2 linked regions of the Arabidopsis thaliana genome follow. The protein of the gene in region 2 interacts with the protein of the main gene of each other region in a biochemical or structural test. Each region holds a gene or a part of one and is shown on either strand. Other genes may lie near its edges.

Region 1 (4,604 bases), on a different chromosome or scaffold from region 2:
AATATTTGTTCGTTATTGTGATTCCATTTTTTGATTGGTTTTCCCAAAATCTGTCTAGGCCGAGCATATACTCGATCTGCAGAAGCAACTGACATTGCTTGGAAGCGAAACCCGGAGGGATATAAATGGTAACCGATCTGATGAACCCATAACAAGCACAACAACTGCAGACAAGGTAGGGACATTTTCTTTTCCTTTTTTAATCTTTTCTTTAACATTTTTCTGTGACCTGACATATTTTCTTTACGGTGAGGCAGCTTCGATCAGAGCTAGATGATGCTATTGCCAGCGAATGCCCGTTCTGTGGAGAATTAATGATCAATGAGATCACTCTGCCTTTTATTAAACCTGAGGATTCACAGTATTCTACTTCATGGGACCTCCGATCAGAGACCAACTTAGCAAACCAGAGGACCATTTCTTTGCCTGTTTGATTCATGTCAAACCGTGAATTCTTTCTTGTGTGATCTCTTCTTCAGCTAGCTTTGAAATGTGAATGTGATTTTTGGGTTCTGTATTATTGATGTAGTATTACTATTAAACATGCTTCTGGAGATACATACAATATGCTATCTCACCTACTTTTGTCTCTATATCTAAGTGTTTTTCTGAACTATTATTTCGATCTAAAAGATACTTCTGTATTCCATGATTTTACATCAGTGATGCGACTCTTCCTCTGCTTCAAAATCTTTTTCTGCAGATATTTTCTTCGCCAGAGCCTGCTTGGTCCAGCGCTTCAAGTCATAAGCTCTTTTAAAAGGCTTCTTCTCCCTGGTAAGTTTCCTCTTTGTAATGGCAATTGCAAGATCGTTTGGGAACAACGTTTGCCAGACAAAGGCGTGGAGAAGCGTGGAGACAAACAAAACGCAGACCATCGCTGTGGAAATGAAGGAAAGAGTGAGTGCTAGAGCCCGGCTCGGGTAACCAGGTACTGCCTCTGCATACTTTATTGTTGCTACGGATGCTGTTGTCATAGGAAAAGTATATGACCACCACGCCACTGAGAACCTGCAAAACCCCGTAGCCACTTAGTATCATCAACATATATCTTCAACCAAGAATATTTAAACCCGAGATGGACTTACTTAAATCCAGTGAAGAAATTGATCCGAGCAACTAGGGATATGTATAGGAAGAGTGCAATGAAGAAGCAAGTTCTTGAACATCCGTCGAATTGGCCATATATCGTGTTCCAAGCAATACTTGCTGCTGATGGGGCAGCAATGAACATAGAGTAAACAGGATGAAGCTCTTTAGGAAGAGCTTCACTGGTGGGAAGTCTCTGATAAAGTGTTACAAACACAACCAAGTAATGTGCAAAACCTACTGCCCATAGAAACTTAGCTACTTCATCCCATCCAACTTTTGAAGCTAAGATGGCCCCGACGAAATTCCCTACAACAGAAAGATGAGAAGATGGGTTTGCGACTTTGCATAGTCGCCTCTTCCCTCCCGAAAGCCATTGCCCGTAGATCTTTAGCTCGAGGAAGAAATAAGGACCCATGAAAACACACCAAATGGCGGGATGGAGGTATTTTCGGTTTGGTGAGAACATGGGAGGTACGCTAATGGCTAGGAACATGCAAACCACCCAAGGAGCGAAGAAGAAGTTGACTCGAACAGGATGAAAATACTCTCTTTTGACAGCTTCAAAGTAGAAGATGCATTTGAGTATGTAAGTGAAGGACACAGAGACTAAAACTACCAGTGAAAATAGCCATACAACTAAGTTAATCAATGGTGTGATGTGTAAAAAGTTTGTTGCAGGACTTTTCGCTAGGGCAAGCCACAAGACAGCTTGACTGCTAAGTCCCAAACAGATACCGAAGCATCCAATTGGGAACCTTAGGAGAAACGGCCATTGCTCCTCTTTTGGAAGCAGAATATCTTCATTGTCCTGCAAGAGAGTACAATTGGAACTAACTGATAATTAAGTTTTGAAGAGAGAAAGAGAAAGAAGAAGAGTTGTTACCTTGACTTCATCCAATTCAGGTCCTCTAAGAGCAGCAAAGTATCTTCCTGCAGAAACATTTTCATTTATAGAATCATCTTTGGTCTCACCATCTTCAGTTCTTAAAGAATTCTCAATGTCTCTCTCCCTTATTATAGAAGGCAATAAAGACTTTTGTTTGCTGAGCGTTGATTTAGTCCTAAACATACTAAAATCTGTTTTCCGACCATCTCCACCGTTGATGATTCCACCTGATTCAAACCCGCCAAAGCTACGACCACTCCTCGGTAAACTCTTTTTGTCATCTCTTTCTCTAGATTCTCTGTTGAGCACTGAGAAACCTGTCTCTAGCGAAACCTGTCTGCTAAAACCTCTGAATGGTCTTTGTTTCCCTCGGTTTGGTCCTCTGTTTCCAGAGAATCTCTTGTTGTTGTTGTTCTCTTGCTGTTGCAGTTCTTGCTCTGCTTCATCTTCAACTTCATTGATGTCGGCGAAAGTGGAATGAGCATTTGACTGTTTCCTCTCCATTGATCAGAGCAATTTGATAATTTGAAACACAAGAGAAGATATTTTTCTTCTAGTATGGAAAGGAAACATGTTAATGTATATAGAAAGATGCAATGGACTAAGTTAAAAAAAGCAAAGTTTGTGGTTAAGGGGCACGAGAAAGCTTGGTGAATGGTGTGAGTTAATGCGTATGTGAACCAAAACTTTCCTGGAAAGTTTCTTAGGTTTCTCGTGAAAGCTTTTCGATCCAAACTACTTGGAAAAGGTGAGAGACGATGAAAAAAAAAAAAAAAAAAAGGCCGTTCCATTAGTCACGAGATTCAAATGCAACCAAAGTCAATTTGCTCTTTTCTATACAAAACATAATTTGAGTCGTTAATTCGATTTCTGTTAGCTCCTCTTGTTTGGTTAAAACTTATAAACTTAACATATAATACTAACATTTTGGAAAAAGGGGTCGAAAGATTAAAGCAACCAAACATATGTGCAGAAATATGAATGGCATATATTCTTCTTCTTTGTAAGAGATTTTTCTATGAATTTCGTTCCAAAATGCTTTACGTTTTCCCTTTATCCAAACAAAAAACTTTGATCAATGAACTCAAAATAATACAAAAGTGATATAATAAATCATCAAATAGCCTCGCATGGATTAGGAGTCATAGGACCATAAGACAAACTCACATAAGCCGTGATTATTTTCACAACTTCTTGAATAATATGATACAATCTATAATTTATAATTTATAATGTTTGTTTATGAATCAGGTTTAAAACAATATTCGGACTGTTGATTAATAAAAAATTACAAATATAAGCTAAGCTTGAGATCGAACCCTCACACATTGAAGGTAGATTGCCACAGAGATGACCACTATACCGCCACAAGTTTTGTAAGAGTAACGCCCCTAAGTTGTTCTAAACCTTGGCATTTATAGCCTGTAGTTTTTGTTTTTATAGTAAACAAAAAGTTGTAATGTAACCTTACTTCATATAGCTCTAACAATATATGAGTGTTGTGAAATGGGAATACTTATGGGATTAGATTGTTAACCATATATATAAGGTTTGAGATCATTAGGGTGTGTTTACAAAATCTATATTCTTGCAATACCTAATGTTTTCAAAACCCACAACATTAGTGAAGAATTATTGCATGAATCTCTTAGACTTGCAAAGTAGATTCTTATTTAGCGTTCGTGGCTTTTTGGTTCGACATTATTGGAAGCAACCGGAAAGCAGGCAGACCCAGTCAGAATAGTGGTGGGTCCCACGATGTGTCGAATAATATATATCTGATCCTGAAGACAAGATCATGACCGTCGGTTTAAAACACGTAATTGGGTTCCAAGGCTTTATGAAAACCCTAGAAGTAAAAGGGAAAACCGAAAAACAGAGAGATAGGGTTCAAAGCGGTTAGGAAGATCCTTTTTCCTTAAGGAAAAGGAAATCAAGGATAAAGAAGAATTATTCTTTTCCTGGTTATAAATAAGCAAGCCCCTGTTCAACAAAACAATCACAAAAAGAATGTCAAAAAAGCAACGCTGCTTGAGGATGGAATCGCTGCCCCACGAGGTCGTAGAGCGCATCCTAGAGAAGACTTGCTGTGGATTCTCTGCTGAGATTCACGGCTGTATCGAAACAATGGAAATCATCGATCGAATCTCCATTCTTCCAACAAAGACAATTGACACAGCGTCAGCAATCAGGTGATCCAGCTCTTCTCATGGTCTCCAGAAGTCGTGAGGATTATTTTAACCCGGATTTAAAACATCTAACTACACTGGTGTTGGGTTCATCATCATCGGTCACCATCCCTACACCTTGGGAGAAGGACAAGGAGAAGGAGAAGGAGAAGGAGAAGGAGGACGAAGAATTCTTCTTAGTTTCTTTTGATAGCTGTGACGGTCTCGTTTGTCTCTACAAATACTGGAAATCTGGTTATGTGGTCAATCCCACCACTAGATGGTATCGCCCTCTTCCTCTCTCTCAATTACAACAACTCCTTATCAGCTTAGGTCGCAGTGTCTTCGAGCTTGGATACACAGTCTGTGATATTGGATTCGGTAAAGACAAAATCACGGGCACATACAAACCCGTTTGGTTATACAATTCTTTAGAAATTGGCCTTGAAAACGCTACT
Region 2 (8,261 bases):
TATAAATATGTAAATTAGTAAATTTGTTTGATGTATAAATAATCTTCTAATAATGCACACATATTAAAAATCATTTAAAAAATAATTTTCACACACAGATTAAGAAATCATTTAATTTTTTTTTATTTGTAAAGTAAAACATCATTTATTATCTATTCAAATATGATTCAACCAATAAAAAATAATCTGCCGAATATAAATCGCCAAAACTAATAAAAAAACTAATTAATCCCTAATTTATATTAAAAATTAAAAATATCATCTAATTTTGAACAAATTTCCTCTTAAAACATGAAATGGAAGGTTAACGTCATTTATACTAAAGGTTTATGACTAACGTTAGTATAGAGAGCCAGGTTTGTCAAATGACGTCTTATAAGCTGACTTAATATCAGAATTTATGAAAGTAACGTCGGTTTAAAAGCAACACAAAATTTTTATAGACCATTTCTACTAAATTTTTATATAATTTGTTTTTATCAAATCTAAATAAAATTTGCTGTCAACAAAAGAAATCTTTTACCTAAATTAGAAAGACAATCGACCGAAATGATGATATTTATATTGTTTGAATATACTAATTTTACATAAAGCATAACTTTGTCCTTGATATGTGGAACTGTTGTATTCAAAGCCACTTCACGAAGTCTTTATAAGCTGACTTGCTCGAAGTCCCAGTTTCCCTGAAAGAAAAAAGAAAAAAAAGGAGCAAAAACGCTTTAAGAGAAACATTATACTCAAGATTTTCAAGTGAAAGCACAACTATTTAAAATTACAATTACGAAAGGGAGAAGATCCAAGTAGGAAAAAGCAGATTACAGATTCATAAGTGAGCTAGTGAAATGATTCCCACTATAGCTCAATGACCAATCCTACTGGTGTCATATCCAAAACACATAAGCAATATTCAGAACTGTTATCTTTACATGTATGGTAAACTTGACTACAACAAACAATAACATACATGATCTAAGTGAAATTTGGTCCAGTTCATAACATCTCACTAGCAAATTTCGTATCAACTATTGTAGCTACAACACAATGGGTTGCTTTTAATAATATTTTTTTTCCCGAAGGAAGAAGACTCGGAAGCTAGACAAAGAGAATATGGATTTTAACAAGTTTTACCTGATCTATCACAAGTGCAGAAAGATCCATCATGACTTGAGCAAGATCGTTTACTGATTCAAGAACGTAGACAAAGTGTAAGCACTTGCCTAATGCAACTCTCTGACTCTACCCGTAATTCCTCTGCTCATTTTTTTTATCTTGGTCATCTGGTGCTCGTCAAACTGAAAAGAAGATTTCAGGTATAGATTGCATCAATAAAGTACATATGAGGAATGATGGCTATAAACTGAAAGAATAAAACACATATAGAAGTTGGACAATATCGCCAAAGTCATCTTCTTCAGGTCTACATCTGTTTCTCAGATCCTCAGAATCTCAGATTTATCTCTATATTCATCCCATCAGGATAGTACATTAGAGTCGTAATAAAGTTTTTGATGCTCAAAGGGTTCCTAAGGATGTTGAGAAAATGTAGATGCAAGATAAAGTTATTACTAAGTTAACAACTACTCAAATTCAAATTCCTTTGACTTTTCAGATCATTTCTGTATATTTTGAGTATTTGACAAACGCAGGAAAAAGGCAAATCAGAAGCATATAACATAAAGTGCATCAAATCAATAAGATTCTCTTAAGAGATTGGAGAATAGTACAAAGAATGCATACCTTGAGGGATTTAATACCATGCAAGCTGCACAATGGAAAGCACCAAAAATGTAAAGCCAGTCATAGGTGTCCTAGTTTCTTCTACAATGTATCCCTAAACAACTCAATAGGCAATTGACTAACGATTTGGAGTCAATAGAACATGGAATAATGCAACAACATTTCAAATCAATCTCTTTTACCTGAATCTCCTTAAAATTCGCAAAGAGATTGAAATCTCTTACCTAGAAAACTTTCATGAATCCATCATCCTAAAACCAAATCAAGAATCCTTGTTAGACTATTCAATCGAAAAACACACAAATATGTTATATTCTACCATTCAATCTTATCGATTTCGACCAATGGAAAAGAGAAACTCTCGACAGAATTAGCAAACCACATGATCGGATTGAGATGTTTTTTTACCTCATTCCAGAAGATCGATTTCATAGAAATCAGATGCGAAATTCACAAAAAGCTTCGGATAAAGTATTCATCTATCATCTTATATGCAATCTCCATAAAGTATCCAGCGTGACTTGAGATCTATCTCAAATTAATTGCTGCACAGAACGCACCCGTAAGTGCCAAGACCCATCAATTGTTATCTTCCAACGAGTCTCTTGGTGAGTCTAGGTTTCTGTAAATCTCTGGAAGAAGATTATAAACGGCAATCTTTATCATCAAGCCGCATTGTTAAGCACTGGAAGATATAAACCATCTTCCTGAACATTGTTTTGCTTGAATGTGTTCACTGGAACTCCTATTTCTGCAAGGCCAAAGATGAACAACGGCTGGATTTCTCTAATCTCTAAAACACTTATCTCCCCTTTCTAAGCAGTGTGATCACAAAGTCTCATGATTGCTATCTGTCTCGACATATTATCAATTTTACCTAACGCAACCTCTCTCATGATTTCCACTGGAGATAAAGCCTAAAAATGTCCACCAATTCTCAGTCATCATCTACTCCAAGATATTGACTTTCATTGCGAGAAGGACTGAATTCGAAGGCTGTATTGTGCACATACTTGTCCAGTTTTGTAACCATTCGATATATCTCCCATTGATATATCTCGAACTGAGATTGGGTTTGTAGACGGTGTTGAAAATCTGTTGATGGCTTGGTTGATTCATCTTTTGCCACCGTCGTTTTGAGTTTTCCATGTTTAAGAATTACTTTCCGTTGGATCTATGTAGTCTTGGTCAGTGGAATGGATACTGTTTCCCTTTTGGTTGTGTGGTGCCACATCTCATCATCGCACGAAATTCCTCAAAGTTTATTTTTCCATCCTGTAACATAGTTCCTTTCAAGGTTTCATTACAAGCACCGGTTTACTGTTTGAGATGTTGGATTATGTTAGAGAGTGCGACTTACATTGTCGGTGTCAACTTCGGATATAACTTCTTTGATGCTAGCTTCATCTCCCATTCCATATTCCTTCATGGCACTTTCCAACTCATCCCTAGTTATGTGCCTATTGGATTACCAAATAGCATTAACATTGGTGCCTCATAATAGTTACACACATTTGAATCTTAATCCTCTTGACAAAAAAAAAGAAATGATTGATTCGTACACTGAAAATGTAAGAAACTTACCCATTTTTGTCTTTATCTAAGTGTTGGAATGCTTTGTGTACGTGCTCATCGTGATGTAATTTGTATCTATGCATTGTCGCAGAGATAAACTCATAGTAGTCAATTGTTCCATTACCATCCACATCAGACTGAAAAGTTATCATCATGTGTTTCAAACTGTCTTTTTCAAGATCTTAATTGCGGAAAAGAGAAAGCAAGATGCTGAAGATAACTTACCGCTTCAACGAGTTGCTGAACTTCAGTTTCAGAGAGTCTAGATCTAAGTCTACTTAGCCCAGTTTGGAGTTGTTCATAAGTGATTGTCCCGCTTCTATTGGTATCCATATTCGCAAACAAGGTTTTAAGACCTTTGATCTCTTCTTCGGATAGACTCACCGCGCTAACCTGCAAACAGAACACACAAATTAGATCCCCAAGTTCCGGCACTAGTAGATATGAGATGTTTCAACTGATTAGAGAACACAAAGAGATGGAAAGACTATAAGCGAGATGCATAATTAGTAATAAAGAAAGATTTAATTTCATAATATTTTGAGCTACGTGATTACCTTTAGGGCTAGCTTCTTAAGCTTGTTCATTGCTCGGAATTGCTTCATACGTGATAACACAGTGCTATCAATAGGCTTTTCCGGTGCTTCTCCCCCTTTGATCCAAGGATGTTCTATAAACCATAAGGATTGCTACATATTAGTAAAGCATTACTCGGTAAACGACCATAAACTCAAGACTGGTATTCACATTCTCTTACCAAGAACTTGTGCAGCAGTGATTCGTCTCTTAGGGTCTTCGGTTAGCATCTTCTCAACAAGATCTTTCGCGCTGTCAGATATAGAAGGCCATGGCTCACGTACAAAATCAATTTTGCATTTTAGAATTTCAACGAATACTCCTTCTTCATTGTCTACAAAATAACATATGATTACAGATCAAACCTTAAGAAGAAGAAGAAAAAATCAAGAAGTTTTGTTAGCTTAAAGGTCTTTTACCGGCCCAAAAAGGAGGTACACCGCAGAGTAGGATGTATAAAATAACACCTGCACTCCAAATGTCGATTTCTTTTCCGTAACTCTGCCTTAATACTTCAGGAGCAACGTAGTAAGGACTCCCAACCACATCCTTGTAAATTTTTCCTGTAATTTTGGTTTCACAAACAGATAAACATAAAAATCAAAATAAACTAAAACGAAAACATAAACATAGTTAAATCTGTACAATAATAAGACAACATAAACCTGATTCTATTACTAAAGAGTAGAGTCCCATCTCTATGCATTGGAACATAAGTCACCAATCTAGCTCATGATTAAAGCACAAAGTGCATATTTTCGATTCGTGAAAGAATATGATCAATCTTCAATGAACAGAGAAACCCCAAAATCAATTGCTTTGAGCATAACAGTCTCATCGTTACTCGAAAACAAGTACTTGATACTAAAAGAGATTTGTGCTAGACAATCCTATAGGACCCAAAACCTATCAAACGCAATCATCAATACACTAAGAATATGATCAATCTCGAGCTCACTTTATTCAATGAACACAGAACATTTCTGATAAGCACATAACCAGAGTAAACCGGTGTCATAGAAAAGAGATGTGGTCTTGTTATGGCTCCTAAATTAATGGGATTGTATTCTCCACTCCCCACGATGTTAGTAGTAGATTTAGTGGTTATTTTCTTTCTTATTTTTGTGTATTTAAAGACTTCAATGTCAAGTTAAGGAATCAGACTTGAAAATTGACAAAACAGAGTTTATCTCTTTGGTACTTTGTGTGTTCTTGTGTTAAGACAAAACACATCTCTTTGGCTTTGAGGAGGGACCACCTATCAATTTCAAATCGGACTCCTTTATGCATAACATTCTATTCTTATTCTAGAGTATATGACATCACGATTCAGTGAACTCCTAAGATGAATGTAGATACTAAAGAGACTTGTGCAAGACAATCTATAGATTCGTACCATTAGCATACCAAATCAACCTAAGATGATTCTATAAAAGATCAATCTCTATAGCTAACCTTCTTCGATGAACGCGGACAACCCGAAATCGGTTACTTTAAGCATTGCATTCTCCTCCTTACTCGAGAACAAGAAATTCTCAGGCTTGAGATCTCGATGAATCACACCATTCAAATGACAAATCTGAACAACATCCACAATTGACTTAATGGTACCAGCAGCAGCTCTCTCAGAGTAATGACCTTGAGCTATAATCCTATCAAACAACTCTCCACCGGCACATAATTCCATTACCAAATGTACAGAATGTCTGTCTTCATAAGAACCTTTGATCTCAACAACGTTTGGTTGTCCAGACAAATGCTGCATGATCTGAATCTCTGTCTTCACATCTTCTCTACCCAGCTCACTAATTAGCTTCCTCTTGAGAATCGATTTGCAAGCATAAATGTTCCCAGTCCCAATCTCTTTGCACATATACGTAATCCCTAAACCACCTCGACCTAATTCTCTCCCCAAGCTGTAAAATTTCCTGATGTCTTCGAATGGTTTACCTAAAATCGTCTCTGGATCTCGAACTGAGATGGGTATCGATGGTGATGGGATTTGAGGTTTACGATGATCGGGGACTTGATCAACGATATGGGTTTGAACTGGAATTATCGGAATTGATCTTTCTCCGCCGCCGTCGTTTTGAGTTTTCCGGTGTTTACTGCTGAAACAACCCATTAGTAAAGGAGGAGACTTTTCGTAGACTTTCTTCTTGGATTGAAGAAGAAGATAAACTTGGAGGAATTTGATTGAGAACACATTTGTGGTTTGTATTATTGTATATGTTTGACTCGAACTGTAAGAAATTTTTGAAAGATTTGAATTTTGAGCTGGATTTTGGACTTTTTTTTCATATACCGGAAAAAATATATCGAGATCTCAGATTGGGCTGCTCTGGAGGCCTTAATTGGGCCTTAGAATTATTGATGTCATAAGAGAAAGATAACTCTTTTATATTTCTTACAAAGAGATCAGTTTATAATCTTTATTCTTTAGATTGGTTGGTTAAAAATTATGTTGAAGACAAAAAGAAAATAAGAAAATAAGTTAGGCAAAATGTCAATGGTCCAATATTAGTTTCAGAAAAATAATTAAACTTAAAACAAGTTAGGCAAAATGCCAATGATCCAATATAAAATTACTAAAATAGACTAATTAATATTTGGTAATAATAAAAAAGAATATAAAATTAAAACAGAAAAACTCATGAATTAATATCTGATAACTAACAGTTTTAAAGATAACAGTTTTATTTTAAATATTAAAACAAAATTGTCCAAGAACAAAAAAGATAAAGGAAAAACAATCTATGAAAGATTGATCTTTTTTATAACGTGAAAAATATTAAGTGATAGACTTTAAAATATTAAATTTCGAATATTGTTTTTAATTTATAAAGAATGTGGCTTTTCTTTTAAATTTGGACAAAATTGTCATTTACATATTAAATTTTTTAATCTTTATTAAAAGTAGAGAAATGTATATTTTTCAAATAAAAACTTAAAAATAAGGTAATTTTCAAAATCTAAAAAAAAAACACAATAACTCTTCTTTCATACCATGCACATGCACCGCACTGAATCATTACTCTTACGTAACCATCAACGACGCCGTGAAGTTATATGTTTACTTCCCGTCTGGGAATTGTCAAAACTCAGTTGTATACTAAACGGGTTATTGTTTCAGTCATGACAATTAGATTGTGGACTTGTGTTTGTTTCAGTTAAATCAATTTATCTCCGTGTTTTATATGCTGATTTTTGACTTTTTGGTTCAGTAGAATGGCTGATTAAGAACAAGAACAGTTCTTGATTGTCTTGTGCCGCCTATCAGCATCTAGATGGAACCATCTGATTAGTTTAGCAAATGCTTGGTCAGTGAACACGGGACATCATAACAAAGGAGCAGTTGTGCAAGATGTTCGCATGTGGTTGCCTGGTTATGTTTGTTTTTTTATATGGATGGCAACATCAATGGAGGTGGTGGGGGAACGGAGGTGGTGGGAATCATAATTTAATTGAGGTGCAGAACCAGGATTTTGTTGAGGTTTCACATGACGTTGTTGAAGAGGAAGCCCATAGGAAGAGGAAGACGTTGAGGTAGAAGTGGTTGTAGTTGAAGTTGAAGTCGCCGTAGTTGAAGTTGAGGCAGAAGTGGCTGTAGTTGAAGTTGAGCCAGAAAATTCACGTTAGAGAAAGAGGGTTGGTGCTAACTAATGGATACCATACAAACGGCAACGTCTTTTGTGAGTTTAGGCGGTCTTCTGTACAAAAGATTAGATCATCCTCAATGGTAGGATATTAATCATATTTAATGAATAAATTTTGAAATTTTGTTGTTAAGAGTTTTAGTAAGTTTTTAATTTTTTAGCAACCTCAATAGTAGTATATTAAGTTGGAGTTTTTTAAAAAATTAATTTTTAAATTTTTAAATTTTTTTGAACTTAAATTTGATCAATAGATGACATAATAATTTTTTAAACATACATGTAAACATAAAGTTTAACTATTGATTTCTCGTCGATTTGGTCGTGGACAACCAGAGTCGGTTGAGATGAGAGCTAACATCGGGAGGACGCCCGGGTCTAATAAACACAGGACCGGAGAACGCGAGACGGCCATATCGATTTTAAGGAGATCTTCTGCTTCCTACCTTCAATCGCGAGGAAAGAGAGAAAGAGGGGAGAAAAATAATTAAACGCAAAAAAATGTTTTTTTGTTTAATATTTTTCTTCCAACCAACCAAATTATTCCATGTCACCACCGCATTTTGCTTAAGAGCATCTCTTAGCTTAAACCACCTCTAAACTGAATTGATCAATTAACATATAAATTTAATGATTTATAAACCTAAAAACTCCCTAATATCCTCCCTTTAATGATGCTCTTAGACAAGGTTTTATTTGACTAGAACTGCAATTGGAATT

The links.
Region 1: of the proteins of CPK23 (region 2) and OZS1, one has a biochemical effect on the other in vitro, tested with the Arabidopsis thaliana proteins (one study listed by BioGRID).

The regions. Positions count from the first base shown.
Region 1 is NC_003070.9:4,256,768-4,261,371, forward strand, and holds OZS1 (C4-dicarboxylate transporter/malic acid transport protein), read right to left. Parts: upstream 2,534-4,604; 5' UTR 2,483-2,533; coding exon 1,976-2,482; intron 1,901-1,975; coding exon 1,089-1,900; intron 1,012-1,088; coding exon 660-1,011; 3' UTR 501-659; downstream 1-500. Other genes in the region: AT1G12470 (zinc ion binding protein), read left to right, coding at 59-175, 258-434; AT1G12490 (F-box associated ubiquitination effector family protein), read left to right, coding at 4,016-4,170, 4,199-4,604. UniProt on the Arabidopsis thaliana protein: Slow, weak voltage-dependent S-type anion efflux channel involved in maintenance of anion homeostasis.
Region 2 is NC_003075.7:2,402,481-2,410,741, forward strand, and holds CPK23 (calcium-dependent protein kinase 23), read right to left. Parts: upstream 6,258-8,261; 5' UTR 6,014-6,257; coding exon 5,344-6,013; intron 4,452-5,343; coding exon 4,308-4,451; intron 4,223-4,307; coding exon 4,070-4,222; intron 3,983-4,069; coding exon 3,870-3,982; intron 3,706-3,869; coding exon 3,538-3,705; intron 3,450-3,537; coding exon 3,322-3,449; intron 3,198-3,321; coding exon 3,098-3,197; intron 3,013-3,097; coding exon of another isoform or gene 2,926-3,012; exon of another isoform or gene 2,655-2,925; coding exon 2,615-2,654; exon of another isoform or gene 2,489-2,614; coding exon 2,403-2,488; 3' UTR 2,146-2,402; exon of another isoform or gene 1,989-2,145; 3' UTR 1,738-1,988; exon of another isoform or gene 1,293-1,737; 3' UTR 664-1,292; downstream 1-663.